7 linked regions of the Callithrix jacchus genome follow. The protein of the gene in region 6 interacts with the protein of the main gene of each other region in a pairwise test. Links are inferred from orthologs where the notes say so. Each region holds a gene or a part of one and is shown on either strand. Other genes may lie near its edges.

What was found.
Region 1: the proteins of GFAP (region 6) and CWF19L2 interact in binary tests that used the Homo sapiens proteins (3 or more experiments, as listed by UniProt). The link is inferred for Callithrix jacchus from reciprocal best matches to the Homo sapiens genes GFAP and CWF19L2.
Region 2: the proteins of GFAP (region 6) and PIAS2 interact in binary tests that used the Homo sapiens proteins (3 or more experiments, as listed by UniProt). The two-hybrid records come from large-scale screens. The link is inferred for Callithrix jacchus from reciprocal best matches to the Homo sapiens genes GFAP and PIAS2.
Region 3: the proteins of GFAP (region 6) and UBASH3A interact in binary tests that used the Homo sapiens proteins (3 or more experiments, as listed by UniProt). The link is inferred for Callithrix jacchus from reciprocal best matches to the Homo sapiens genes GFAP and UBASH3A.
Region 4: the proteins of GFAP (region 6) and PIH1D2 interact in binary tests that used the Homo sapiens proteins (3 or more experiments, as listed by UniProt). The two-hybrid records come from large-scale screens. The link is inferred for Callithrix jacchus from reciprocal best matches to the Homo sapiens genes GFAP and PIH1D2.
Region 5: the proteins of GFAP (region 6) and PDZK1 interact in binary tests that used the Homo sapiens proteins (3 or more experiments, as listed by UniProt). The link is inferred for Callithrix jacchus from reciprocal best matches to the Homo sapiens genes GFAP and PDZK1.
Region 7: the proteins of GFAP (region 6) and RIBC2 interact in a two-hybrid assay, tested with the Homo sapiens proteins (2 studies listed by BioGRID and IntAct). The two-hybrid records come from large-scale screens. The link is inferred for Callithrix jacchus from reciprocal best matches to the Homo sapiens genes GFAP and RIBC2.

What each region holds. Positions count from the first base shown.
Region 1 is NC_133511.1:7,236,014-7,239,970, reverse strand, and holds part of CWF19L2 (CWF19-like protein 2), read left to right. Parts: intron 1-1,633; coding exon 1,634-2,280; intron 2,281-3,957.
Region 2 is NC_133514.1:89,982,546-89,986,502, forward strand, and holds part of PIAS2 (E3 SUMO-protein ligase PIAS2), read right to left. Parts: intron 511-3,957; coding exon 36-510; intron 1-35. UniProt on the Homo sapiens protein: Functions as an E3-type small ubiquitin-like modifier (SUMO) ligase, stabilizing the interaction between UBE2I and the substrate, and as a SUMO-tethering factor.
Region 3 is NC_133522.1:48,228,451-48,232,407, forward strand, and holds part of UBASH3A (ubiquitin-associated and SH3 domain-containing protein A), read left to right. Parts: intron 1-325; coding exon 326-524; intron 525-3,957. UniProt on the Homo sapiens protein: Interferes with CBL-mediated down-regulation and degradation of receptor-type tyrosine kinases. Promotes accumulation of activated target receptors, such as T-cell receptors, EGFR and PDGFRB, on the cell surface.
Region 4 is NC_133511.1:11,775,362-11,780,074, reverse strand, and holds the start of PIH1D2 (PIH1 domain-containing protein 2), read left to right. Parts: upstream 1-1,727; 5' UTR 1,728-1,828; exon of another isoform or gene 1,829-2,156; intron 2,157-2,376; exon of another isoform or gene 2,377-2,455; intron 2,456-2,580; exon of another isoform or gene 2,581-2,681; intron 2,682-3,227; 5' UTR 3,228-3,258; coding exon 3,259-3,435; intron 3,436-4,713. Other genes in the region: uncharacterized protein NKAPD1, read right to left, coding at 788-856.
Region 5 is NC_133519.1:8,106,509-8,110,465, forward strand, and holds part of PDZK1 (Na(+)/H(+) exchange regulatory cofactor NHE-RF3), read right to left. Parts: intron 1,473-3,957; coding exon 1,276-1,472; intron 1-1,275. UniProt on the Homo sapiens protein: A scaffold protein that connects plasma membrane proteins and regulatory components, regulating their surface expression in epithelial cells apical domains.
Region 6 is NC_133506.1:85,324,011-85,328,437, forward strand, and holds the start of GFAP (glial fibrillary acidic protein), read right to left. Parts: upstream 2,977-4,427; 5' UTR 2,033-2,976; coding exon 1,479-2,032; intron 527-1,478; coding exon 466-526; intron 262-465; coding exon 166-261; intron 1-165.
Region 7 is NC_133502.1:214,533,929-214,537,885, forward strand, and holds part of RIBC2 (RIB43A-like with coiled-coils protein 2), read right to left. Parts: intron 2,165-3,957; coding exon 1,937-2,164; intron 1-1,936. UniProt on the Homo sapiens protein: Microtubule inner protein (MIP) part of the dynein-decorated doublet microtubules (DMTs) in cilia axoneme, which is required for motile cilia beating.

The sequences.
Region 1 (3,957 bases), on a different chromosome or scaffold from region 6:
AAGTAATGACTTCTTGTGTTTAAGATTATATCATGTTTAAGTATCTTTATATTCAAAGTTGAGTAAAAGGTGCTTTTTTGTTTGTTTCTTAAAATTTTTATTTATTTATTTATTGTGTTGTATTCCAGGATGTTTTGATATGCACAAGGAAATAATTACTACAGTTAAGCAAATTAATGTATTATTTATCTCACATAGTTATTCTCCTTTTTTGTCTGATAAAAGTACCTAAAATCTACTCTCTTAGCAAATTTTCAGTATATAATGGGGTATTATTAACTGTAGTCCTCTTATTGGACGTAATGTCTCAAGGCTTAGTTATCCTATAAAATGGAAACTTTGTACTCGTTGACCTCCGTCTTCCCATCCCCTCTCCTTGCAGTAACCACCTTTCTGCTTTCTGTTTCTGTGTGTGATGCATCTTTTCCTTGAAAATTGTTTTAACCTTTGCAACTACAAGGACATTTGTTTAGACTTGACCATTGCATTTCCCATTTGGTTTTTAGCATCTGTTTTTTTTTTTTTTTCCAGAGATCTTTGCCCTAATTCATTTATGGAGTGACTTAATCATGTTGAGCAATTTTTTGCCCTCAGAATTGCTAGTGCTATGCCCTCTTATTCTCTGCATTTTTCAAAATGATTTTCTTTTTCTCATACCTAGGAAGGATAATTTGATTGTAAATTGAATTCTTTATGTAGAATTATAGCTTAATTTTTTAAAAATTTCATCTTGAGTCTATTATTTATTTATTATTATAGATGAACAGCTGATAAGTCTGTCTTTCTTTTGCACGTAATTTGTTATTTATCTACCCCTATCCAAATGCAGGCTCACACTTATTCACTCCTTCTCCAATCTAGTCATTGTAAAGGATTTTCTTTTTCCTTGAGTTTTGAGATTCAGGAATTAGGGTTTTTTTCTGTTTTTCTTTGTTTCTCTTCTCCACCCAAGGCTATTGGATGAGCGCTTCTGAGAAATTGACTGGGGAAAATTTTCTTATATATTTTTAAAATTAATGCTCTTCTCCCATCATCTTTGCTCCATCTTTCTGGAAGCACTAATAAATGTATATTAGATTTTCTAGAATCATTGTTCATGTGTCTTTCTTTCTTATAACTTAACATTTATTTACTACCTTTTCCTGAAATGTAGAGAATTCCCAGGTTAATTTAGGTTTCAGCACTCTCTGTTCTTCCTTTTGTGTATCTGGGCATTTTTTTGTGGCACGTAATTTTATATTTGCAAGTTTTTCTTGTTCTTGAATTATTATTATGTTTTTCATGAGAGTCTGTTTTAGCATTTTAACCTCTTGAGTCTCACAACCAGTAGGAATTAATTATTTTTTGAAAAGTTTGTCTTTACTGTTTTCAGTGTTATACTTTGTATTAGTGCAGAGCATTTGGTCTAACTGGCTGTTTTTGGGGTATCTATTTGTTATTTGATAATTTTTAATTGTTTATGCATGTTTTTAAAAAGTGTGTCAGTGTAGGATGATTATAGGGGTCCTCTTTCACCCCCTTAGTGGGCTCTTCAGTATGCCGCTTGGCAGTGAGTCATACAGTGACATGTGGGGTGCAAGTCACTGAGCCATTCCTAATTTTAGATATCTTGTTTAATTTTTCTCCTTTGTAGTCAGTGGAAGTATTTCAGTCGAAATTAGAAGACGCTGAAAAAGCTGCATCCATAAAAGAAGATTATAGACGAGAACGGTGGAGGAAACCCACATATTCAGATAAAGCAAAAAATAGTCAAGAAAGTAGAAAATCAGACTTAGTAAAATATGATAACAGTTCACGTGATAGATATGCTACAACAGACTCTGCAAAAAATAGCAATAATGATAAATGTATTGGTGATGAAAAAGATAAGAGGCCTGGCTCTTTAGAAACATATAGAAGAGAATCTAACCCAAGGCAAACTCAAGAGTTTTCTTCTGGAAATTTGAGAGCTAAATTCTTGAGACCCTCTGATGATGAAGAACTGTCATTTCACAGCAAGGGCAGAATATGTGAACCATCTAGTTCATCTTCAGCATTGGTAGCTCAGGGTTCTTTGCACAGTGGTTTCAGAAAACCCACCGGGAACAGCGAAGAAAGATTAACATGGAGTCACTCTGATGGGAGAGGAGACAAGAAGCATTCAGATCAAACGCCGCTGGAAACCAGTACCAGTGAATACCAACACATTACCGAAGATACGAGAGAAAAACCGCGAGATGAAGGCTTCAGAGATGACCCTCCAGGCAAACACCTGCAGGACCCAAAGGCTGCATTTGCTGGGTATTTTATCATTTTTTAACCGAGAGTTCAAAGAACTGAAATGTAATTTTAGAGCATCAGTTGTTAACTGTGACTGTGGTCTCACACATCTTAAAATTGATAGAAAGGGTAAGATAGGCACGTTTAACAATGCAGTAATATTGTATTATAGATTGCATTTTTTTTCACAGGTTTGCTTCTTTTTTAGAAGAGCTGAAAGAATTCAGTAGCTGTATTTTTTCAAAATATGTTGCTTCTTTGCAATTCAAAAAACAGAATGAGTTAATGTTTTCAATGTATGTGCTGTAGGAGAAATTTTGGTAGATTTTGTTACCAGTGCCATTATTTTCTAAGTAAATTATCTTATTAAGTATAATCATAATCATAAATAATGTATGTCTGCAGGAAGTCTAGGAGACAAAAGGAAACCATACTACCACAGCCCAATATAAACAAATATGTGCCGGAGATCTTGCAAAAGGCAGCATGAATTATGGTTGTTATTTTGCACAGAGAAAGAAATAATCCACTTTGGACGATTGACAGATTTTAAAGATAATGTTAGAGTTTTAAGTGTAAAATATATGTTGCACTTATGTAGGGCTGGGTCAGAAGATGAGGAAACCCCCGTTGAATGAGACCAAACCTAAGAAAACTTGCTTTAGCTATAAGGCTGGCCCTGTTGAAGATAGCCAGAAAAACAAAAAGTGTCCAGAGTGTAATAACTTACACTTGAATGATCATTTAAATCTGGCACCAAATGAGTGGGACACTCCTAAAACGTCTTCAAAAAAAGGAAGAGGTTTTAGGAAGTAATAGAAACCCTTTGGTTGTAGTAAATAAAAGCACTGTGGTTTGGGGTGGTGAGTCTGATAAATCACTTTTGTTAATGACTCCATCTGAAGCAGTGGATTATAAAACTCAGTGTGTAACTTTCAGTGGGAGGGAGCTGGCAAAATCAGAACCGTGTGATTAAGCCCCAGTCAAATGGGCTCTGGTTCAGGTCAGGGCTTTGCTCCCAGGAAACAGAAGGAGAAATCCAATTGTATTGACTGAATAAACATGGCAGGGATTAGTGCCTAAGCCTGTGTGCATATATAATTATCCTGTCTTCTCTCCAGGTACCCTGGGTGGTAGACTGTTTTCAGTTCCCAGCCACTAGGAAATGAGGCTGTTATTTCCTGATATCATTAGGATTTGGGTTAGCATTTGGATGATCTGTAGGTCTTCTGTGACTGTAGCTGAGCAAAATGTCTACTACACAATTAGTATTCCAACTGGTTTTCTGATTGTTGCATATTTGCATGTCTTGTTTAAGTTGTGATCTTCTGATAGATACACTATAATACAGGCACTCACTAAAAGCTGTGTATGTATGTGTGTCTGTGTGTATATATAATTTTTTGGTTTGAAGAGAGCATTCACTAAAAGGTATATGTGTGTATATATGTATGTATATTTGTAATTTTTGGTTTGAAGATACTATTCTTTGTTATCTGTGTTAATTTGATAGTAGAGAGGATTTGAGGCTTTCTGTAATTCTGTGACTGGCCGGAGAGGGAAAGAAAAATCTAGGAATCATCCAAAAAAAGAAAAAAGATTCCTCAGATTGTAGAGTGGTTGTAAAGTAGGAGACCAAGATAGAATGCCTAGAAAGGTTCAGTGAAAGATTGTTAGAAATTATTCATTTGTCGAACA
Region 2 (3,957 bases), on a different chromosome or scaffold from region 6:
CTTGTTCAGAAGAAACTAAATTCTCTAACACTTACCTAAACTCGTGGGCTTGATGAGAACATCAAGGACATCATAAAAGGGCAGATTTTTTAACTGCACATCAGGATGGACAGGAGGAATTGGGGGAGATGGCTGCTGCATCTCAAATGTGGGCTTAGTATCTTGAAGCAGCACAGAACCAACAGGAGAGGATGGTGAGTGAGGTGTAACTGAAGTGGAAGGCAACGAGTGGATTCCAGCCACGGCCAAGTCAGGTTCTACAGGTGATGAGCTACCATCCAAACTGAAAACCGATGATTTGATTGTGGATAAATCAGAAAGTCCTTCAAGAGTTCGTGGATATCGGCGTCTATACAATTCTCGGATTTTAATCTGAACCGCAGGGCTGCAGCCACTCTTCAATAAATGCAGCGCCCTCATCAGGAGGTCATGCTTGCGTCCACTTTTATTCCGTCCAGCAAAGCCTAGTAATACTTGTAGTTCAGAAACCCTAAAACTAGAAACCATATTCTAAAAGGAAAGAAAAAAAACAGAAGCCAAGTCACCCTTAAGCATACAAAAATCCTATCTAAAATATACTGTAAAATGTGATTTTTCCAGCATTCTATCAACTGGCATGTGCTAGTAACAGCATTTCACATACCACTTAGAGTCACTACCATTCGTAAGACAATCCCGTAAAAATTACATTCAAGTTATGCTGTTAATTATATTTTGTTGCATGAGATCTTAATTTTGGTAATCTATAGTCTATTGGTTTCTACTACCACTTCCTTATCTGATTATGCTCTAATATACACAGATTGCTTTATGACTATAAAATCTATCACCAATGAAAACATTCCTTTTCAAAACCAACCCCTCCCAATACGCAACTTAATGTTTGTTACAGAATTATCACCAGTTAACCAAACAAATTAGATTTTCACAGTGTTTGATGTGCAAATTTTGATGCTGAGTAGTCAATCTATTAAAAAAAATCTAGACAGCACTGTGATCTAAAATGCAATAAATGTTTTGTCCCAACTCAAACATTAAGGAACAGACAACATAATAAAAGATATTTTAAAATATTAAAGCTAAAAAGCACATACATCTGATTTAGCAGTCAGTCAAATTTCTAAAATGACTCAAATTCCCAGCTGGGTATCCAAATGGGAAAAACACCTTTGAAGAGCAAGGAAATGAGCAGTCATCAATCTTAAAGGGCAACATTTCCTCCACACTACTCTACTGACTTGTGCTTGGGTGTAAAACAAAGGTTATAAGCAGTTCCAGCTTCACATTGCATCTTCTATTTTTTTTTTTTTTTTCAGCAAAACTTGGTATTTTTAACCCCTTGCAGCCTCAGGAATCCACCAACTTAGTGATTTCCAGTCACTGAACTCAGAGGCAAATCACCCTTGGGTCAGATGCCACACATGCAAGAAAGAGGAGGAAGATCTGAAGCTGAGCAAAGCCCTGTCCATCCTGTCCCCATCACTCCCCTAACCCAGATCGTGCTACACACTCAACAGTTACTTGGGATTCCTTTTCAACCTGTTCTTCTCAACAGTATAGTGGCAATGTGAGGCAGTTGCTCTGTACTTTTAAGTCTCAGGGATGGCCCAGAAGCAATTGTTTAAGACCCTGTATGGCTTTTAAATACATGCTAGTTTACTAAAATGCAAAAATAGATTTAAATATACCAAAGTAATCCATGTACACTGTACCATAACTGTACTTTGTGTTCTATATATGTCTCCATATTTCATATTGTACAAGTCAGAAAATATTAAATTGTAATCCTGGCAAGCATTTTATACTCTAATTCAGTGCTGTCCAACACAAATGTAATAGCAGTCATATTAAAAGAATTAATTTAGGCCAGGAATGGTGGCTCACACTTGTAATTCCAGTGCTTTTGAAGCCCAACACAGGAGGATCACTTGGGCCCAGGGGTTCAAAACCAGACTAGACAACATAGTAAGATCCCTTCTCTACAAAACTTTAAAAATTAGCTAGCCATAGTGGTGCATGTGCCTGTGGTCCCAGCCTCTCAGGAGACTGAGGCGAAAGGATCACTTGAGCCCAGGAATTTGAGGCTACAGTGAACTGTGATCACAACACTGTACTCTAGCCCTGGGCAACATCAAGACTGTCTCGAAAATAATAATAATAAATTAATAAAGTTATTTAACCCAATATATCAAAAGTATCATTTCATCTCAACATGTAATTTTTGTAATTTAAAAATAATCATTTTTTAAAATATCAGTGGGGTATTTTTTCATATTACGTCTTTAATATCTGGTAAATATTTTTTACTTATGATACATCTCAATTTGGACTAACCACACTTCAAGTGCTTAAGACCCACATGTGGCCACTAGCTACCACATTGGGCAGTGCAGCTCTAAATCATTAATAACACACATACCACAATGCCATAGTCACTGTATTTCAACTTGCTTTATTTCCTCCACATGCAAGATGAAGATTTTATTCATCTTTGTTGTCTTACCTTTACAGTGCAGACAACAAAGATAGAAAACAAGAAAATTTTTGGCCTCTCTCACAACAAACCAGTTACAGCTTACTCAACATCTCATGCATTAAATGGAAGACAATAGCTTCTTAGGAAGGGTTTACCCATGTAAGAAATAACGATGCATCTTTCCCAAAGTCCTCAATCTTATTAAACACTTCAACTGATTGCAGAACTCTAACACTAAAAAAGGCAATCACACCAATACAACATAACTATGATTTTTTCAGACTAACTCAGAATTCATTACTTTGCTTCACTCCTTATACTTATTGTCAGATATTCTTCATTCTAAGGGAACTTGTTTTACAGAAATGACAAAATACAAAGTCACCCTACCTAAGCTTGACTCTCAAAGGAATTTCTAGAGGTCTCATTATCTCATATTTCCAGTGATAACGTTATTTGGCGAAGGATGTTAAAGCAACTGGCTGTTGTACATAGACAAATAAAAAGTAAGAAAGAGATAAGGGCTTAGATTATGAATATCACAGAATTCTGAACAGCCGATAGGACAGTCTTTGCATTACAAAATGCTACAAAGATCAAGTACTGCTGGACACACAGCCAAAGGTAATGAAGTCAATAGGGCCCCGTGAAAAACTTCAGGCCAGCAATCAGCAGCAGTTGTTGTTCAAGCCCAAGCACCAAGACTTCGGACCCTGGGAAAGTCATTTCATCCCTACGCTCATCAATTTCTATTTTAGAATGATAACAAACACCCCAAAAAAGTTAGCACTTACTGATAAAATAATCTCAAAGCAGCTTACTAAGTAAAATTTTATGAATACTTTTGTTGTTGTTTTTTGCAAATCTTACTAGATCCCACTTCCTCTTAAAGTAATACCTACTTTTTTTTTTTTTTTTGAGAGGGAGTTTCGCTCTTGTTGCCCAGGCTGGTATGCAACGGTGCAAAGTCGACTCACAGCAACCTCCGCCTCCCAGGTTCAAGTGATTCTCCTGCCTCAGTCTCCCGAGTAGCTGGGATTACAGGCATGTGCCACCATGCACGGCTAATTTTGTATTTTCAGTAGAGCCAGGTTTTTTCCATGTTGGTCAGGCTGATTGAGATCACCTCAGGTGATCCGGCCACCTCGACCTCCCAAAGTGCTGGGATTACAGGAGTGAGCCACCGTGCCTGGCTTTATTTTTTAACTTAGTCTTCCATCAAGTTTCAGGTCCTTCCCCCAGTGAGTGGGTATGGTGAATAGGGAGGGTCACCAGAACCCTCATGGGGGGATAAGGTTAGCATGCTATGAACACTACCAAGACTAGATTTCAGTTGTTTTTCTCCACCAAACTCTGACATCGGTATCTTTACTCTAATGTTTTTCAAGCAGTTTTTCCACTCCACCGTGCTGCCTTCCAGAGGCTCCCTAGTCTGCCCACTTCAGTTAAAACTGCTATGTGCTCTACAGAGGAATTTCCCT
Region 3 (3,957 bases), on a different chromosome or scaffold from region 6:
ACCTGAGCAACACCATGGGACTGAGGAAAGGGCTCAGCAGGTGATGAACACATGCCATGGAGGGAGGGGATGCAGCTTGAGGACCAGGGGACTTCCAGCCTGGGCACCTAGAGGAGACACCATCCTGCAAAGAAATTGACTGAAATATTGAAAAACTGAGGTCCGAGTATAGAACAAATCCATAGCCCCAGACACACAGGCACGAGGTAAACTGTTAGAGCATTTTGAACAGAAAAGAGTCACTTGAATCACCGTCGATTGTTATTAAATTATTAGACAACTTCTGATGACAGGCGAGGAAACACGGGCTCTGTCTCTCCCTTAGTGTGAAGACCAGAAGGTGGAGTGCCTGTACGAGGCGCTGAAGAGAGCTGGAGACAGGCTCCTGGGCTCCTTCCCCACAGCCGTGCCCCTGGCTCTCCACTCCTCCATCAGCTACCTCGGCTTCTTCCTCAACGGCGGCCCCGCAGACGTCATTCGGGAATTCGCCATGACCTTCGCCACAGAAGCATCTCTCTTAGCAGGTGGGCAGCCCTGGCCGGTTGAAAACACAGGGCCGGGTTCACAGTGAGTGAGCCCTTCGTGGCAGGGACGAACTCCCAGCACACAGAGGCAGTGGGTCGCTTCCAGGGAAGCAGAGCCCACAGCAATGGTGGGATGGCGGGGTGGGCTTTCTCCTGGGCTCAGTGGATGCACCCGTCCTCACCGAGGCACTTCCGTGTCCACTTCTGGATTTTCAGCCGGGTGCGTGGACATGGTCTTAACCTGAGGCTGAAGAATTTAACTAGAGCCTCGTTTTTGAGCCACTGCAGCCTTCAAAAATTCAGGCTGATGGAAGGCTTCATATAAAAACACGGGCCGATGGAAGCTTCATATGAAAACGGGGGCCGATGGAAGCTTCATATGAAAACGGGGGCCGATGGAAGCTTCATATGAAAACGCGGGCCGATGGAAGCTTCATATGAAAACACGGGCCGATGGAAGCTTCATATAAAAACGCGGGCGATGGAAGACTTCATATGAAAACGGGGGCCGATGGAAGCTTCATATGAAAACACAGGCCGATGGAAGCTTCATATGAAAACGGGGGCCGATGGAAGCTTCATATGAAAACACGGGCCGATGGAAGCTTCGTATGAAAACGGGGGCCGATGGAAGCTTCATATGAAAACGGGGGCCGATGGAAGCTTCGTATGAAAACGGGGGCCGATGGAAGCTTCATATGAAAACGGGGGCCGATGGAAGCTTCATATGGAAACGGGGGCCGATGGAAGCTTCATATGGAAACGGGGGCCGATGGAAGCTTCATATGAAAACACAGGCCGATGGAAGCTTCATATGAAAACGGGGGCCGATGGAAGCTTCATATGAAAACACGGGCCGATGGAAGCTTCGTATGAAAACGGGGGCCGATGGAAGCTTCATATAAAAACGGGGGCCGATGGAAGCTTCGTATGAAAACGGGGGCCGATGGAAGCTTCATATGAAAACGGGGGCCGATGGAAGCTTCATATGGAAACGGGGGCCGATGGAAGCTTCATATAAAAATGTATGCCGATAGGAAGCTTCTGGACCCACAGTGGTCTTCTCCTTCAGTGGAAATAGTCTTGTTCGCATTTAGTGGTTTTTCAAACACTTAGCTATATGCCAACAGCCCGGGAAACTGCCCCAGAGGGGTGTGCCAAGCATCAAGCCTGACTGGGTGACCGTGACAGTGTTGGAGGCCGGTGCACATGGGTAGTCAGGGCTTCCTGCCCTCGGCCTCGAATGGGAGACACACGAGTCCTATGTGACCTCTTTCTGTATTATCAGAATGAGCTCAGTGCTCTCTCCTTGGCCTCTCCAGGGAAGGATTATTTAGACACATGTTGAGAATCATCAAAATTCCCTGCTCTGGAGCCTGAGGCTGGGGTTTGGTAGAAAGGATTCTGGACTTGGCATCAGAACATGTGGATTTTTTCTGTGTTCCTGATGAGTGGCGTGACCTTAGTCAAGTCAGGTCCACTCGCTCTCTTTTCTTTCTCTACAAAACGATGAGGGCTCTCACTCTTCAAGAACAATGTTGCCTGAGTCTATGGCGCACCCGCCCCGGTTCCCAGGACACAGACGGTGCTCAGCGTTGTCATGATTTACCAGCTCTGAAATCTGACAAGGCCGCAGTGTCTTGGTGGGAGGGGCCCTCCTCTCTCTCCCCGGGAATGTGTCTGTCTCTGTCCTCAGACACGCGTGAAACAGACATCTTGGCCCATAAATCCAACCATGAATCCCAGGCTTCCATTTGGATGCCAGCTTGTGAATCTGGAGACCGAATCCGCCGGATAATTAGAAAGTAACCCCTGGTCTTTGTGGAATGAGTCTCCTCTGCCAGACGATGGCTCTTTCATACCCCAGGCTTCCCTAGTGAACCTCAACGGCGACATCTTAAAAGCAGGAAGGCTGAGGCTGTGAAGGGCAAAGTGCCTGCCCAAGGTCACGTGGTGTGTGCAGTGGCGTCCCCTAAAATATATGTCCACCAGCAACCTCAGACCTCCCTTGGAAATAGGACCTTTGCAGATGCGATTGGTTAGGAGGAGGTCACACTGGAGTAGGGTGGGTCCCCATAAGTGGAGAGGCCGCACAGAGACACAGAGAAGCCATATGCCAACTGAGGCAGAGACGGGAGTGATGTGGCCACAAGCCAAGGGATGCCTGAGGCCACAAGAAACTGGAAGACACAGGAAGGACCTTCCCAGGAGCTTTCAGGGAGAGCGCAGCTCTGCCAACACCTTGATTTTGAACCTCTGGTCTCCAGAAACTGGAGAGAATAAATGTCTGTTGTTGGAAACTGATCCAGTGCCCTAACCAGTCTGGTGGAGCCAGGACCTGAACCCAGCTCTGTCCTGCTCCACACCACCCGGGTTCATGCCGAGAGGCCCCACTTCCTGTGCAAGCTAGCATTGACCTCACATCCACACCCTGACCTTGAGCAGGCTCTGCCCTGCCCTTTTCTGGCCCATGCCCTCAGCCTGACACTGAGCGGGCAGAGAGGCCTCTCCCAGTGACAAGTGACCAGTCACTGCTCTGAAGTGGCCAAGCGCCCTCTTGGGGCAAGCGCACCAGACATCCTGCCCACAGTGGCCCTCCCCAGTGAAACGTCCCCGTAGGCACGGGTCTGTGGAGAGAAGGAAACACAAGGACCCATTCACAAGTCAGTGTGACTCACTCTGACATCAGCCGCCAGCAGTGGGTCTTTCCCAGGCCTTCCTCCCCAACTGCTAAAAAACAGTCAGAAAAGGAATTTCCCCACCACCTACACACTCCCGCCGCTCTGGGCTGCGCGGCCTCAGCACCTGGGCCAGCCAGAGACCGTGGGAGCTTCCCGTTTGCCTCTAAAGGTTCACCACTCACGTGGGAGACAGCAGTGGGCTCCAACTTCGGGGCTCTGAGGAAAGGCTTGCATTACCCTTGACATTTTTAGGGGGTGAGCAGATCCTGTCTGTAAGTGCCTTGCCGTGGAGCGAGGGCAGGTGACCTCTGCACTGACACAGCGTCTCTAGCAGGAAATTTTAAGAAGCTGATTTCCCACGGCAGACCTGGCAAGCAGCCTCTGCCATCCTCCAGCAAATGCTGCTGAAACAGAAATTGGGCCTGGCCCAGAGGCTCGGTCAAGGTCACCTTGCAAAAGGGGGGCACAGTGTGCCCTAAAACTACGTCTGTCCACCCCAAAGTCTGTGTTGTTCCCATCAAGACACCGACCGCCTCCCTAGGACATAAAATACTTTGTGGCCCAACTGAAATCAGATCCCAGCTGCTTCGGAGACTCCAGCTGCTCTGCTCACTGGCCTGAGAGCCCCCTTGCAAGACCAGGAGGGCCAGGGCCATTGGGGCAGAGGATGCCCAAAAAGACTGGCGACTCAGCCACTCCCGGGACCTCCTGCTTCACCAAAACCAGCTGAACCCTAAGACATTGTGTGTTTT
Region 4 (4,713 bases), on a different chromosome or scaffold from region 6:
CATTCTTATCATTATCGTTTAATTAGCCATCAAGTTCTTTGGATTTATCCTAAATTCCTCTTCTTCATCCCTGCTGTCACTAATTTCATGCAAACACTCATCATCTCTCACCTGTATTACTGTAATTACCTCCTAATTAATCTTTCTATTGTTTCTCTCCATCTGATTCATTCCTTACCCAGCTGACAAATCACCTTTCTAAAATATAACTATGATCATGTCACACCCTGTTCAAAAACATTTGATGGCTTCTTTATTGCCTAGAGGAAAAAGTCTTAGCTCCAAACATCACAATCCAACTCTAATTACCACTGAGGCCTTATCTTCTGCTACTAACCCCTACATTCCCTACTTTCTGGATATATAAATTTCTTACCATGCCTCAACTGATTAATGCTCTTTCTCATTGCCATATTAATGTATGATGCTCTCTATCCAGAATGATCTTTCATACCTGTTAAACTTATACCTATTCAAGAACCAGTTCAAATATAAGCAGCTCAAATACCACTCATTCTGTAAAATCTTTTCTAATTCCCCAAGGTAGATTTTATTATTTCCTCCTTAGTGCTCCAAAGCACTTTGCAAATATCTCTGTTATACATCACTGATCAAACTGTATTATAATTATCTATTTTATTCATAATTTTATTTCCCACTTTTACAGAAGTCTCCAAAAACTAGATGACAAGAATATTCTTTGTATCTCCCAGTTGTGCCAAAATAATGTTTGGCACACTGTTTGCCTTCAGTAAGTGTTGAGGAATAACTAGGTTGTACCTCCTACCTTATTGTGAGCATCTGTGTGCCGGATGACATTCCTCAGGAGGACTTTCCCCAGTGGAATCCGGGACATTCTTCAATCTGAAATGAATCAACAAATAATGTTTAGTAATAATTTCTTTAATTATGTCATCTTTTCTTAAACTTTATAAAGAAGCATGAGGTAAAGGAAAGATCACTGAAAACTAGAAGTCAGAGATCCTAAGTTTTCCCTTTACTATTAAAAGAGGGAAATGCCTGAACACACTAATGTGAGATGAAAAAAGATAATGTACATTAAAGTTCTTTGAAAATGCACAAGACTGCATAAAAATAAATGCTTTCATGAGCACTATTTTATTTAATCCTCATAACTCTATTTTGTATGGGGCAAATATCTCCATCCCAATTTTGTAGATGAAGGTCCCTTAAAGCTGTAATATCCCAAGCCACACAGTCCCAGGCAAATGATGTAGGTCAATGTCTAGATTAAAAATCAAACCTCCAATCCCAACATTAGTTTGCAATGAAGCAAATACGTAAATTTGAGAGTGTCAGGAACCGCAGATGTCAACAGTAACAGAAACTAATGACTCAAAACATCAAAGGCAAAGATGTCCCAAATTTCTCCATTTGGGGGCATTTTATTTCCTGCTTGGTATGGAAGCTTCCAAAAACTAGATGACAAGAATATTTTCGTGTGTGGCTAGCAGGGCTTTGTGCAACCATCCCAACGCTCACTCACCCCTTGATCCTGAGGGAATCAGGCATCTTGTTAGTGAGACGAAGAACCACTCCATTACAAGATCTCCTCCGACCCAGGAAGCCAAGGAGTCAGGGCTCAAAGGCAGCTCTGCAGCTTCACCCGAGTCCTTCGTGAAAACGCAGCCTTCCCACTGGTTATTCTGCCCTCACCTGTGGCCCAGGCCTCTGCCGCCCTCAGCCCAGATCCACAGGCAGATTCTCTCTCCCGGACCGAAGCCGGATGCTGAGCCGGCGCGAAATTCGGACGGCCGGGATGACCCGGGCATTCCCCGCTCACGCTCCTCTGGGACGAACCCCGGGGGTAAGTTTCACTCCCCAGAAAAGATGGGAACGCTTTGGATGACTACGGCCTTAGGTTGGGCCCCAGGAAGTATCTAGGGGGCCTGAAGCGGGTGTTGAGGTTTCCAAATGGAAGACAGAGGAAATATCCCCATCTTTGTCATCGGGATCCCTGCCCCTCAGCGGCCTCGGAGCTCCCGGTAACCTTCCCTCCAAATGCCCTCCCCACACAAATACACACAAACACACCCATACCGTGCGCCGCAGCCTCGCGTGGCGGGGGGTAGGGGGGGAAGAAGCGATTTGGGAGAAAAAGGAGACTTCCTTTTCAGGCCGGAAGTCGTTCTCCTGAGAAATCTTCCCACCAACAGGCGGCCCAGAGACTCCCACAAGGGAGGGTTCTCGGGACACTCCAGAGACTAATTGGTGCAGAAGCGTGGCGGGTGCTTGCCTGTAAGGTGCTAGCTTGGCATCAGAAGGGAGACATTCCGGAACTAGATATAAAGAGACTTTTCTGCCTGAAACTCCCCGGACCCAATTAGATGTTGTACCAAGGCTGGTTACCCTGGTAACAGACGTTGCGGTTTGTCAAGGAAGTAAGAGGTGGGTTTGCCAACTTACAGATTACCCGTTAGAACTGAGAGAAGAGGTGGGTTTGCAGACCTATGGAATGATTACCCGTTAGTTAAGTTTGCCATTTAGCGTAACCCTAACATAGTAGTTGAAGAATCTAAACCTCCTCTTTCCTTCATTGTGAAGATGCTGTGGGAGACCTCTCTAATGGAAGAAGAGGCCAAGGAGAGTTATCTGAAGACCTAAAGGGTCCCAGCCTCTCTATTAGCTGACTTAATCCTCGCAATAACCCTATGATATAGGTATTATCATCTTCATTTTGAGCAGAACAAAGAGGCACACACACACACACACACACACACACATATTAATAATTGCTCAAGGTCAACAGCTAGAGACAGAACTAAGACCGGAATCTAGGCATTCTGGCTCGCGAGTCCATGCTTTGAATTACCAAACTATCCTGACGATTAAAGAAGTCTCACGTGGCCCTAACCCAACATAAGATTTCAGAACTGGCAATATTAGAAGTGGCAATTTCAGAACTGGGGAGATACGAGTCAGGTGTTGAAACAAGAAGATCAGGAAACCCAGACTTAAAATGATTACTCTGACTTGTCAGGGTCCAATGTAAGGCCTTATCTGAGAGGACAACATGAGAAGATAGGAGGAGGTACTAGATAATTAAAGAATAAGGAAGACATAAAGTGGTGCTGATCCACCTTTTAGACACAGGTGCTAAGTGCTAACTTCACGAGAACAATTCCTGCCCATTCCGCCTCCCCAAAGCAGAAATAAATCAATAGTTCCACAGACATTTTTCTTCCTGAAGTCATGTCTTTCCACAGGCTTAAGAAACTTATTCACCATTCATCAGTTATGGAAACATCCTCAAAGGGTCTGCTCACCCAAGTTACTCAGTTTTGGAATCTCCTAGATGATCTAGCTGAAAGTGACCCTGAGGGCTATGAGAAGTTTATTCAACAGCAGCTGAAAGAAGGGAAACAGCTCTGTTCTGCCCCAGAACCACAGCTTTGCCTACAGACCAGGATTCTGGTAAGTTGAGTTAGTGCCAGGGATGGGGAGGTCTTGAAATTATCCCAGAATAACCAGGGAATACCTTACACTTAGCTATTGCTACTTTTTTTTTTTTTTTTTTTTTTTTGAGACCGAGTCTTGCTCTGTCACCCAGGCTGGAGTGCAGTGGTACAGTCTTGGCCCACGACAACCTCTGCCTCCTAGCTAGGTTCAAGCGATTTTCCTGCCTCAACCTCTTGAGTAGCTGGGACTACAGGCATGTCCCACCACACCTGGCTAAGTTTTGTATTTTTAGTAGAGACGGGGTTTCACGATGTTGACCAGGCTGATCTTGAACTCGGTGATCCACCCGCCTCGGCCTCCCAAAGTATTGGGATTACAGGCATGAGCCACTGTGCCCAGCTAGCTACTGCTAGTTTAACACAAGAAAACTTGAGGGAAATTGCTTCTCATAGAAAATGAAACACAGCATGAAAAGACTATGTTGAAGGAGTAAAAATGGGAAATTCATACTTGATAGTTCTTGGAGATTTAAAAACCAGCCATTTTTTCTGCTAAAATAAAGATTAAAAAGTAGTGAAATGATTTAGTAGAAAATTATGGAGTTGGAATTTTTTCAAATAACTTATTTGGTTAGGGAGATAAAGAAGTGGTAAAATAAGGTCAAATTCACTTAGAACAACTGCTTCCTTCCAGTTCTGGGAGCCGCAAGTTTTGTTTGTTTGTTTGTTTTGAGATAGGGTCTTGCTGGCCCTGTCGCTCAAGCTGGAGTGCAGTGGCACAATCACAGCTCACTGCAGCCCAAACGATCCTCCCACCTCAGCCTCCCAAGTAGCTGGGATCATAGGTACCACCACACCCAGCTAATTTTTTTTTTTTTGAGATGGAGTTTTGCTCTTGTTGCCCAGGCTGGAGTGCAATGGCATGATCTTGGCTCACCACAACTTGACTCCAAGTTCAAGCGATTCTCCTGCCTCAGCCTCCTAAGTAGCTGGGATTACAGGCATGCACCACCATGCCTGGCTAATTTTGTATTTTTAGTAGAAACTGGGTTTCTCCATGTTGGTCAGGCTTGTCTCGAACTCTCGACCTCAGGTGATCTGTCCACCTTGGCCTCCCAAAGTGCTGGGATTACAGGCGTAAGCCACTGTGCCCGGACAGTTTCTAAATTATTTTTGTAGAGACAGGGTATCCCTGTGTTTCCCAGGCTAGTCTCAAATTCCTAGGCTCAAGCGATCCTCCTACCTTAGCCTCCCAAAGTGCTCGGGTAACATACATGAGCCACCATGCCTGGTC
Region 5 (3,957 bases), on a different chromosome or scaffold from region 6:
AATGACTCATCATTCATGGCAGCTGCAGTTGGTTCTTTTTTTTTTAAAAAAAAGACAGGGTTTTACCACATTGGTCAGGCTGGTCTTGAACTCCGGACCTCAGGTGATCCTCCTGCCTTGGCCTCCAAAGTGCTTGGATTACAGGCGGCCAAGTATGTTAATATATTTTCCATATCTCCTTTCAACTTTAATTAGCTGGTTAGGAGGCTGGGCATGGTGGCTCACACCTGTAATCGAAACACTTTGGAGGCCACGGCGGGTGGATCACCTGAAGTAGGGAGTTCAAGACCAGCCTGACCAACATGGTGAAACCCCCATCTTAAAAAAAAAAAAATTAGCTGGTTAGGAACAAGTAGCATGCCATTAAAGACTTCTATTCAGGTTGATATCAAGTATTTTCTGGGTATGACAGTTCAAGTAACTAAAAAGGCCATTAAACCAATTCATTGTTTAATCCTGCTTACAAGATTCCCTTGAAATATCTCATGAAAATGTGCTGAGGGAGGAATATGGTATAACGAATTACAGATCCAAGAATTTGGGTTCAAATAGCAAAGTACTTAATCTCTCTAAGCTTCAGTTTCCTAATCTATGAGGAGGGCCTAATATATCACCACCCATCGTATTCCTCCCTCTGTATCATTTATTTTGGAATCTGCTATTATTGCATTTTACAGAGAACATTTATCTTGTTCATCTTTACGATAAACACCTAGCAAGACAGATGGTACTTAGAAGGCCCCCAGATACCTGTTAAACTAGACTGAACCTCAATTCTTGTATTAAAAGTGTTCAAAAAAACTTAAAACACGCAGTAGTAGGTGTTATAAGAGCTAAGAGAAAATAGAGTGAGTTTCATTCAGCTTGGTCTTAGTCTGTGTTTCTCTTATTTGCTAAGAGTTTACGAGCTGTTTAATAATCCTTTCTAGGCTTTTACACGCCATTGATAGAACTTAACTGACCTAAAGCTTAAAATCTAATTGTTCCCTATTTTGGGAACAATTTTATTTCCAGACTTAACGTTCTCCATAGATTTTCTCAGATCACCGAGTAAGTCCGCAAATGGTTTCAAAATCTTAAGAACCAAGCACTTAAAACTCCTCAGTCATCTGGCATTCTCGTCACGACCAGCTGGAGGTCAGTTCAGCCTTAATGACGATTGTTAGGCGTCTTCCAGTTAAAGGAGCAAAGTCCTAACAGTGCAAAGTTTGAGGACAGGAGTGAATGGGCCCGGCCTTACTGCGCGAATCGATGGCTATTATTCATATTACTTACCAGCCTGTACATGCTGTCTGTCTCTTTGTCTACCACCAGCAGTGAAGTCTGATCTCCACCCTTTCTAATCATTTCCACCACACTGTCATGATCCAGGGTTTCCACAGACTCGCCGTTGACAGCAACTACCAGGTCATTGTTCTTCAAGCCGGCCTCTTCTGCTGGACTTCCAGAGTCTATGTCCTTGATGATTTGACCTGCCCTCCCGCACCCCCAAAAGTAAAATGATCAGTAAGTCCCCTAGAAAAATAAACATTTTCTGCTGGAGCCCAAAGTCCTGATGAAATAGATAGAAAAGGCATGCTGAGTACAACTCCCCTCCCAGAAAGCTTATCGGCACATTATCTGTTTGTTTCCTGCTCAGAACTCGCTCCAGGAAGTAACCCGGCCATTAACAATGAAGGAGTCTTAATGAAATACTCATGTTACTAAAAGTGCCTGACATTCGGTTTGACCCAAATAGGTACTAAAGGTCTGCAGGTTCCCAGGAAGTCGTGGGCAACTTGTAGCCACGTGTCTTATGTAAAAGCTGTCGTAAAAGACGCGGAAGAATAAAGAACAAAACCCAAAACTGTGGACCTTAAGCAAGCCATGCTGGCATTTTAGTAGCAATTGGACGTGTTCGGTTGAGGACGTATTTGTACGTACACTCCTCAAGGATGTGCCTTTGGCCTTCTGACTTCAACTATCTTTACTGGATGCCGCCAGAGCCCTCACGTTTTTTTTTCTTTTTCTTTTCACTGAGTTTTGCTCTTGTTACCCAGGCTGGAGTGCAATGGTGCGATCGGCTCACCGCAACCTCCACCTTCTGGGTTCAAGCAATTCTCCTGACTCGGCCTCCCTAGTAGCTGGGATTACAGGCACGCGCCACCATGCCCAGCTAATTTTTGTATTTTTAGTAGATGGGGTTTCACTTTGTTGACCAGGATGGTCTCCATCTCTTGACCTCATGATCCACCCACCTCGGCCTCCCAAAGTGCTGAGATTAAATGCATGAGCCACCGAGCCTGTTTGTTGTTTTTTGGTTTTTTTTTTAACAAGCTCCTGTTTCACTTTTCCAGCTAGCTGCTGGGTATCTCCAACAAAATATCTCACATATTTCTCAACTGTAATGTATTCAAACCAAAAATCAGCTCTGCCCTTTCTCCTTCCCAAGGCCCCTCCTCCTGGTTACCTGTTAGTGTAGTGACATCCTCCTAGTCACCAACACTTAGCAACTGATTCTTCCCCAGCATCCAGTCCCCGTATCTAGATGATGGCTAAGTCCTCTGATGCTACCATCATGGCTTACACATCCCACTTCATCTACCCTGAATGCAGTTTGTACTAATTCCTGCCTGGAATTCTACCTAAACTATGACGCACCTTCCTACTGCTCTCCCTTCCCCAGTCCTCCTCTTAGATGCAGATCTGCCTTCAGATCCATCTCAATACACATTCCTGACCAAGTCACTTCCTGGTGCAATGAGCACGGATTTTGGAACTAAACAACTATTTTGCCTTACATAATTACTGTATCTTCTCCAAGTCCTCCATTTCAGCAATTCTTGCATAACTGTCAGGAGTAATTGAGAGGTGCAAAGCCCCCAAGATGTTACAGGCTTTTTTTCTTCTCCCTTTACTGCTCAAAAGACAACTCCCCATAGTCTAATGAGCCAAGTCCAAACTGGTCAATCTTCCATCCAGGTCCCCTCATCACCTCTCTCCAACCTGCCCTTCCAATGAATTCTTTTTTTTTTTTTTTTAAGATGGGGTTTCACCATGATGGCCAGGATCCACCCACCTCGACCTCCCAAAGTGCTAGGATTACAGGCATGAGCCACCGCCCCCAGCCATGAATTCTTACACTACACATCATATGCCAATCAAACTGTGCCCATCTCCTGGCTGTGTTCACATGACTCCTACCTTCCTGGAATGATCTTCCTTGCCCCAGCTCTGTCTGCTTTCCCAAATCTATTCAGGTTATAAGGCCTGAACTCAAGTGCCACCCCTACCAGGAGGGCTTCTGGTAGGTACCTTTTTACTGAGAAAAGCTTACTCTAACCTTGAATTATCACAGTGCTTGATCTGCCCCTGTGTGAAGGTATTTACCTCTATCTCCCTTCATTATGCACAGAAGTCTCTTATCTGCCAAGTGTGGTAGGCTCCTTGACTAAAGAATTCCTGCCTGATTCATGTGATACTCTTTCTCCAAGGCACTGAGGATGTTTTTAACAAAATCAATCAAATTAATATTTGATGAATTAATGTAAACAGAGTGAAAATAGCAACGTATGAGTGACTAACAGTTTATACGGCCTGAACTCATGTTCTTTTATGAATTTACCTTCCCTGAAAGAACCTAGTGCTCTTCCTATTGAGCTGCAAGGAAGGAGGACTCCTGGCTCTCATGCACACCTGGGCCTCAGCTCCAGCAGCGAACTGTAGCTGGCTCACACCGGCTCACAAAAGCCGATTCTTAGCAGTACTTCTGTGTGTTCAGTGACATCGTGTTAGTAAGTTGAAATTGGACATAGGGGAATATTTACATCACAAAAAGCAAATGCTACCAATTTGGACTTTCCCCCACCCCCAGAGCCATCTTACCAGGATACAAATTCTGCCTCATCATTCAGCTATGGAAACTTTAGGATGCCCAATATCAGACCCTCATGTGACTTAGAATCTGACCCAGCTGTG
Region 6 (4,427 bases):
TTCCCTTATTGCCTTTCTCTCTCTCATGTTCTGTCTCTATCTGCCAGTCTCTGTTTCTCTCCTCTCTCTGAGTGTCTCTCTCACTCTCAGCCTCTCTGTCTCTGCCTCTCCTTCTCTCAGTTGCAATCTCTGTGTTGAGCTTTCCTCCCTCTTCCCTGGCCTCACCTCCTCATGGATCTTCCTCAAGAACCGGATCTCCTCCTCCAGTGACTCGATCTTTCTCTCCAGATCCAGACGGGCCAAGGTGGCTTCATCTGCTTCCTGGAGTGGCAGGAGTGGTGAGGAGCAGAGGGCCACTTGGGCCTCAGGCTCTTCCTCCCCATGCCTCAGCCTTGCCTTACCCCTCCTTCTGGGGCAGTGGGGAGCAGCACATTGCTCTGGAGGGCTGAGCTTGGGGGCTGTGTTTGGGTGGGTTGCCATCAACCCCTTTCCTCCCTCCCTAGCCCCTCCCTCCACCTCCCTGACCTGTCTATAGGCAGCCAGGTTGTTCTCCGCTTCCAGCCTCAGGTTGGTTTCATCCTGGAGCCTGGAGTTGGGGGACACATTCCTGGGTCCAGGCTCTTATGAGGACACTTGGGTCTCTGCCCCAATCTCCCTGGAGGCAACTGTCATAGAGACCACCCGCACCCAGGACCAGCAGAGCAGCAGGAGGAGTAAGGGTTGGGGGGCTTTAGACAGAGGCCTCATCTGGAGGATGAGCAGATGCGCGCTTTTGCCTTAACTCATTACCAAGGTGCCTTATCAGGGTTGGTGCACCTGTTCCTGCTCACAGAGGCGCATCCACTGACATATACTCACTGCTACACACACACACACACACACACACACACACCCTCCTGCACTTGAAGGCACACAGGCGCCTTGCCAGCTCAGTGAAGCGCCATGCCCCTGGGGATTCCTCTGATCCCAGGTAACCACCTTCTGAAATGAATTTTATTATGAGCTTTGCTTCATAGTTGTGCAAGTCAGAGTGACTTGACGGGGGTCACAAGTTGGTGTCAGGCTGTCACCTGTGCTCTACACCCAGGCCTGCCTGCGCTTTCCCCCACTTCCTTTACCCCAGAATCCAATCTCCCTCCTGGATGCCAACCTTCTCCACTTCCAACTCCTTTATACAGACCCAGGCTCAGAATAGGTGAGCTCGCTGCCCACAGTCACAAGGCCCAGCCATGAGTGAAAACGCAAGGGCCCGGCTGCTGGGGGCCCGGCTGCTCCTGCACTGCTTTCCTCAGTGAGGAGGTGCTGAGGGGACCCTGGTTCCCTGGCAGAAGGTGTTTGGGAATCAGATCCCCGGGGCCCTGGCCTCTTTCTGGTCCCTCTCATCATGCTGTAGGGGCAAGGATAAGGCCCCATCAAGAGGTAGGGAGACCCAGGGAGCAGGGAGGCTCAGCCCCTGCCTGAGACTTCTCGGGGACTCCCTCTTGGGGGTTCAGCCCCCTCTGCTCACAAGGCCCCCCCCTTCCCCATCTCCTTCTCACTTCTGCCTCACAGTGCCCAGGTCCTGTGCCAGATTGTCCCTCTCGACCTCCAGCCGGGCGCTGTTGGCAGTGAGTTGATCGAGCCGCAGCCGCAGCTCTCGAAGCTCAGCCTGGTAGACGTCGGCCAGCTTGGTGGGCTCCTTGGCCCGCAGCTGGTTCAGCTCAGCAGCCAGCGCCTTGTTTTGCTGTTCCAGGAAGCGAACCTTCTCGATGTAGCTGGCAAAGCGGTCATTGAGCTCCATCATCTCTGCCCGCTCACTGGCCCGGGTCTCCTTGAAGCCAGCATTGAGTGCCCCAGCCAGGGAGAAGTCCACTCGAGTCGTGAGTGGAGGAGGCATTCGAGCCAGGGAGAGGCGGCTGCCAGGACCCAGACGACGGGAAGCCAGACCCCCCACCATCATCTCCCCCTGGGAGACGTAGGAGCGGCGAGCAGCGGAGGTGATGCGTCTCCTCTCCATCCTGCCCTGGCTCTGCTTGCTCCTGAGACATGAGGGCTTTATGAAGGAGTGGGCTGGGCTGGCAATGCTTGCTGCCCCTGGCAACGCCCCCGGCATAGCCTGAGGGGGTGGGGTTGGGCTGCAGCCCAGCTATGGGGAGAGCTCCTCTCACCCCATTGAGGTCATTGTGCCCAGAGGCAGAGCTTCCTGGACACGCCAACTCCTGCATGAGGCAGGTGGTGCCTGGAGCCAGACCATGGGTCCGGGGCCCTGACCACTGAGGCAAGAGGACCCTCTCTCTAGGAAGGTGGGTCAAGAAGGGTTGGTTGGACCACAATGAATATTACGATTATTATGCATCAATTAAAAAGGAAGGGAAGGGCAGGGTGGGGTGGGTCATACTTGCAATCCCAGCACTTTGGGAGGCTGAGGTGGGAGGATTACTTGAGCCCAGTAGGTTGAGGCTACAGTGAGCTGTCTTTGCACCACTTCAGCCTGGGCAACAGAGACCCTGTCTCAAAAAAAAAAGGAAGGGCTGTACCAGATGACCTCTGACCTGCCTTCCAGCTTTTTGATAACCCAGGCCTTCTGTCACTCAGCTGTAAGTGCCTGCAAGGTGCTGGGAATTTGGTGACGAACAAACCTGTTCCATCTCCTCAAGGGGCGTCTATATCATAGTTTCCGACTAGGCCCCATTCCCAGCAGACCCCTGGACTCCTCCCGTCGAACACAGATGTCCCACATTCCTGCTCTCTGCCCATTCATTCCCTGGAGTTCTGGGGCTGGGGGCTGGGATTGGACACCAGCCCTTTGTCTCAGGTCAGTCATGGTCTCTGTATGGCAGTGGAGGTCCTGATAGGGCAAGAAGGGGCTGGTGCTCTCTGGCCCAGTCCATGGCTGCACTTCAGCCCCTGGGTCTGTCCCTCCGGGTCACCCCTTCCTTGCCTGCCTCCCTGCGCCCCCCTCCCAGAGCCTGGGCCTTGACAGCTCCGCAAAGCAGTTATGCATCAGCTGGCTGTGCCGGCTCGAATCTTTGCTTCTTTGCTCCTGTTTCCCTGGCCACTCCTCCATCTCCCACTGGAGATTTATCTCCTCAAGTTACCACACATCAGGCTGTGGAGATGAGAAGGACCTCTGGGGATGGATGGGTTTGGGAACTCAGGAGCCACTGGGTCCAACTGGGAGCCTGAGACTTGGGCCCTGTTGTCCCTGGAGACTTCAGGTCCATCTATGCTTTCCACTCTGGTCTTACAGGGTCAGAACCCTGCCGAGGCCCCTCACCCATTTGTGTCCTTGGACTTCTGGGAAGCAGACAACCCTCCTCTCCCCCCTGCCACCCACTGTCCATGCCTGGACCTCCTCTGATCCCCTTTCCCGGGCACTTGCTGAATAGAGCCTTGTTCTCCACCGCCGGTGGCGCCACACAGCAAGGGCAGCCCCTAGGGGGCTGTGCTGCCTTTATCCCAAGATGCCAGGCTGTCAGGCTGGTGTGCAAGGCAAGCCCCCTCTCAATGGGCTTCTCGGAAAGCATCTGAGGGGGGCTGGGGTGCGGCGGGAAGCAGGCAGTGTGCCCACCCCTGACCATTGTGTCTGTGCCAAGGTGAGTCATTCAGTGGGCACGAAGAGGAGGCCCTGGGGGGCGGCCAACCCAGCGCTGCCAGGTCTCCTGCTTGCAGACAAGGCCTGGCTGTCCGCCTCTTCCCCAGTTCACAGAGCCAGCTCAGGCCCCTGAGCCTCTGTCAGAGCAATGTCCCCTACTCTGCATCAGAATATGTTCTTTTTTGTTGTCCTTTTGAGACAGGATCTCACTGTCACCAAGGCTGGAGTGCAGTGGGGAAACCACGACTCACTGTAGCTTCACCCTCCCAGGTTCAAGTGATCCTCCCGCCTCAGCCTCCCGAGTAGCTGGGACTACAGGCATGCATCACCATACCTGGCTAATTTTTAAACTTTTTTGTAGAGATAGGGTCTTGCCATGTTGCTCAGGCTGGTCTAGAACTTCTAGGCTCAAGCAATCTTCCCACATCAGCCTCCCAAATTACTGGGATTGTGCCGCTGCATCCAGCCCACGGTATGCTCTTCGTTTGCCCATGTGATGGACAGACGGCTTGCTGAGATCTCCCTCTGTGAGTCCCAGCAAGAGAGGACGGTGACAGCCCCTTAGGCTCTAGTCACATCTGACCCTGGGCCTGAGCACTGACACAGGGAGGGGAATCTTGAAGACGAGGGGGCGGGGCGCCCAATGACCTATGATCCTGCTATGAACTGGGGACCTGAGGAAGGACAAGAGGCTTTAAAGGAAGAGCAAGGCTGGGCACAGTGGCTCACGACTGTAATCCAAGCACTTTGGGAGGCCGAGGTGGGCAGATTTCTGGAGCCCAGGAGTTTGACACCAGCCTAGGTAATGTGGTGAAAACTCATCTGTGCAAAAAATATAAAGAAGTTAGCTAGGTGTGGTGGTGCACTCCTGTGGTCCCAGCTATTCAGGCGGTTGAGGTGGGAGAATCACCTG
Region 7 (3,957 bases), on a different chromosome or scaffold from region 6:
TCCCCGGCGGCTACCATGGTGCCGGCTCAGGGTTTAGCCCACAGCCTAGCAGCAGTGTCTGACTCAGCGGTTCCCCTCCCCTTCCCCCCACAAACCTTTCCTCACTTGGCCTCCAGGAAACCATGGCTTGCATCCGTCCACCTCCCTGGTGGCCCCTTCTCAGGTCCCTTTGCTCTTTATAAATGGTGGTAGTGAGAAGGGGGACCCTGTGGGGAGCAGGACTCAGTCCTCAGCTTAAAATACTCTCTGTAGGGCCAGGTGCAGTGGCTCACACCTGTAATCCCAGCACTTTGGGAGGCTGAGATGGGCAGATCACTTGAGACCAGGAGTAGAGGTATCTACTAAGAATACAAAAATTAGCTGGGCATGGTGGTGCATGCATGCCTGTACTCCCAGCTTCCCAGGAGGCTGAGGCAGGAGAATTACTTGAACCTGGGAGGCAGAGGTTGCACCACTGCACTCCAGCCTGGGTGATACAGTGAGACTCTGTCTCAAAATGCATACATAGATACTCTCTGTAGGTGACAACTCACATTTCTGCCCCCGGCCCAGACCTTGTTCTGAGCCCTGTTCCATATCCAGCAGGGCTTTAATTGGAGGTTGTGATAGAAAATACCACTTCTCTCCCAGGAGCCATTTTTCGTTCTTCCTTAGTAAAAGAATCACCAGCACGTCACTGCCTGGAATAAATGTGACATTTCCCTGCCTTCTTTAGAGTTAGGGGCAACTTCATGACTAAATGTTGTCCGGTGAAATGTAAGTGAAAATCTCCATGCCTCCTTCCTGGTAGCTGGACTATGTATGTGATGGCTGGTGCTCAAGCAGCCATCCTGCGCTAAGAAGTGACAGCCAGGAGACAAGGATAGCAGGACATGGGTCAGTGACCACAGAGCTGCCATATCAGCCCTGGACTGTTTTCCTGAGGATTTAGACTACACACAAGAGACTATTTTCAGATGCTGTTATTTGTGGTTTTCTGCCACATTCAAGCAAATCTAATCCTAATAGATACAGATATCTAATGAACTTTGCATACTTAACATATCTAAAATTGTAATTTTGATTTCCACCCCTCCCACCCCACCAACCTGCTCCTCCCACTATCTTCCCCATTTCCGGAAATGCCAATTCCACCCCTCTAGTTGCTCAGGCCACAAGGCCTGGAGTCGTCTCTAATTCCTCTCTCTCACACGCCCCCACCCAATCCTTCATCCAGTCCTGTAGACTCTACCTTCCAAATATATCCAGAATCTGACCCTTTCCCAGCACCCCCACTGCCAGTGCTGTGGTTCCGGCCAGCATGGCCTCTCACCGTGAGCACTGCAAGGCCTTCCTAGAGGTCCCCTTCCTTCCTCCTCAGCCCCTCGCATCCACCCTCAACACAGGGGGTCAGGCTGGGAATCCTGTTCCACCTAAGTCAGATCTTGTCACTCCTCTGTCCAAAACCCTCCAGAGTTCCCTGTCTCAGTCACAGAAGAAGCCAAAGTCCTCTCCAGCAGCCTCTCAGCAGGACCTCGACCCCCTGTCTCTGCGGCCTCGGCGCCTGCCCCTCCCTCACTCCACTCCAGGCACCAGGCTCCTCGCTCTTCTCCGAGCAGGTCTGATGGGTCCTGCCTCAAGGCCTTTGCCCTTGCAGCTCCCCCGCCTGGTCGCCATTTTCCCAGCTCCACACACGGCTCCCTTCTTGCCTGCTTTTGGGTCTCTGCTTCAACGTGTATCCAGTCTACTGTCCTCTTTCCTGGCACTCCTACTCCTGATGCCACATCATATGGGTGTGAGACTATCTGGCCTGTCTCCCCTGACTAGAAGGGAAACTCCTTGAGGCCAGCTCCTAGGGCAGAGCACAAGGCCTGCTACAAGGAGATTTGTGCCTGGAAGGCAGCAGGAGCACAGGGGCCAGCTCTGCCGGCTCTGGGAAAAGGGGAGGGGCAGTCACCAGCTTCTCCTGGACTTGCTGCTTCTGAACCAAGCGGATCTGCTCCAGCTGCTCCTGGGTCATGCCCTTCCAGCGGTCGGGGACCACACGGTGGGGCCCGAAGGAGCTGGCTGCCTGCTGCGGGTTCTCAGAGAGCAGGTCCCCACGCAGCAGGTTGGTGATCTCGGCCAAGTTGTCCTCTAGTTCTTGAGCTTTCTCTTGCTTTTTCCTTTCTGCTGACTCAATGGCCTAAGCAGGTGAAGACATGAAAGAAGATGGTCTGAGTGACCCCAGGGGTCTTCTGATACCCAGGCCAGCAAATCTCACTGGGGGCCCTCGAGGGAAGGATATGCTAAGGGCAGCAGGAGCCGGGTGGAGGGGAGACTTGTCAGGTACGGATGTGGGAGTGTCCCGGAACCTCTGCCTGAGCACTGCTGGGTGGATGGGCTAGACTCAGGGGATCACCCCCGCTGGGTGTGTGCCTAAGAGCTCTGGGTCTTGCACCAGCTTGCCAAGGCAGGGGGCTCCCTCCCTGGGTTAGGCCACCCAGGGCAGGGCTCTGTGCCCCTGGCAACCCTTGGACATTGGTGGGCTGCAAAGAACACCCGACAGAGTGATTCACAACAGTGATGACTTCTCAAAGTTAGAAAATGCACTGTCACCTCAGTCGTGCAGTCCTCAGTGCAAATCAATTCCAGGTCTAATTTCTGTTCCATTCCCTGGGAGGTCCCTGGCTGTGTGACCTGCACAAGTCAACCTCCCCTCTCGGGGCTGCAGTCATTTCTCTGTGAAGTCAGGAGATGGCGTAGGAGGCACGTACTTGGGTTAACAGTTGTCCTCAGTAACACATGGACAGGGCAGTTTGCAAGGGGCCAGCAATCCACAGGTGCTCACCAGAGGCCACTTCGCTGAGTCACACAGCACAGGCTTTGAAACTGGATGGGCCCAAGTTCAAATACTGGACTTGCCACTAAGTACTCCCTAAGAAAGACAGCTCATCCTTTCAAGCCTCTTTCTTTTCTTTTTTTTTTTGGAGACAGAGTCTCACCGTGTCGCCTGGGCTGGAGTACAGTGGTGTGATCGCTGGTCCCTGCAACCTCCACCTCCTAGATTCTCCTGCCTCAGCCTCCCAAGTAGCTGGGATTACAGACGCCTGCCACCACACCCAGCTAATGTTTTGCATTTTTAGCAGAGACAGGGTTTCATCATGCTGGCTTGGATGGTCTTGAACTCCTGACCTCCTGATTCACCCACCTCAGCCTCCCAAACTGCTGGGATTACAGGTGTGAGGCAATGCATTGGCCTCTTTTTTTTTTTTTTTTTTTTAAAGACAAGGCCTTACTCCATTGCCCAGGCTGGAGTGCAATGGTGCCCTCAACTCACGGCAGCCTCAACCTCTCGGGGTCAGGTGATTCTCCTACCTCAGTCTCCCAAATAGCTGAGGCTATAGGGGTGTGCCACCACACCCGGCTAATTTAAACTAAAGTTTTTAGAGACAGAGTCCCACAATATTGCCCATTCTAGTCTTGAACTCCTGAGATCAAATGATCCTCCCGCCTCAGCTTCCCAAAGTGTTGAGATTATGTACATGAGCCATGGTGCCTGGGCCTGAGCCTGTATCTTTGTTGGTTAAGTTGGATTAATCACGCCTCTGTGGTAGGGCTGCTAAACACAGTGACTACGAAGAGCAGCTAACTCTTGCTGGGATTTAAAATAATGGCCAACCAGGCGGATCACGTGAGGTCAGAAGTTTGAGACTAGCCTGACCAACATGGTGAAACCCTGTCTCTACTAAAAATGCAAAAAAAAAAAAAAAAAAAAAAAAAAAGTCAGGCATGATGGCATGCCCCTGTAATCCCAGCTTCTCAGGAGACTGAGGCAGGAGAATCACTTGAACTCAGGAAGCGGAGGTTGCAGTGAGCTGAGATCACACCACTGCACTCCAGCCTGGGCGACAGAGTGAGAGTCAGTCTCAAAGTAATAATAACAATATTGTTTTACATTTAACATTGTTTTAATATTAATAATCTTGTCTTAATAAT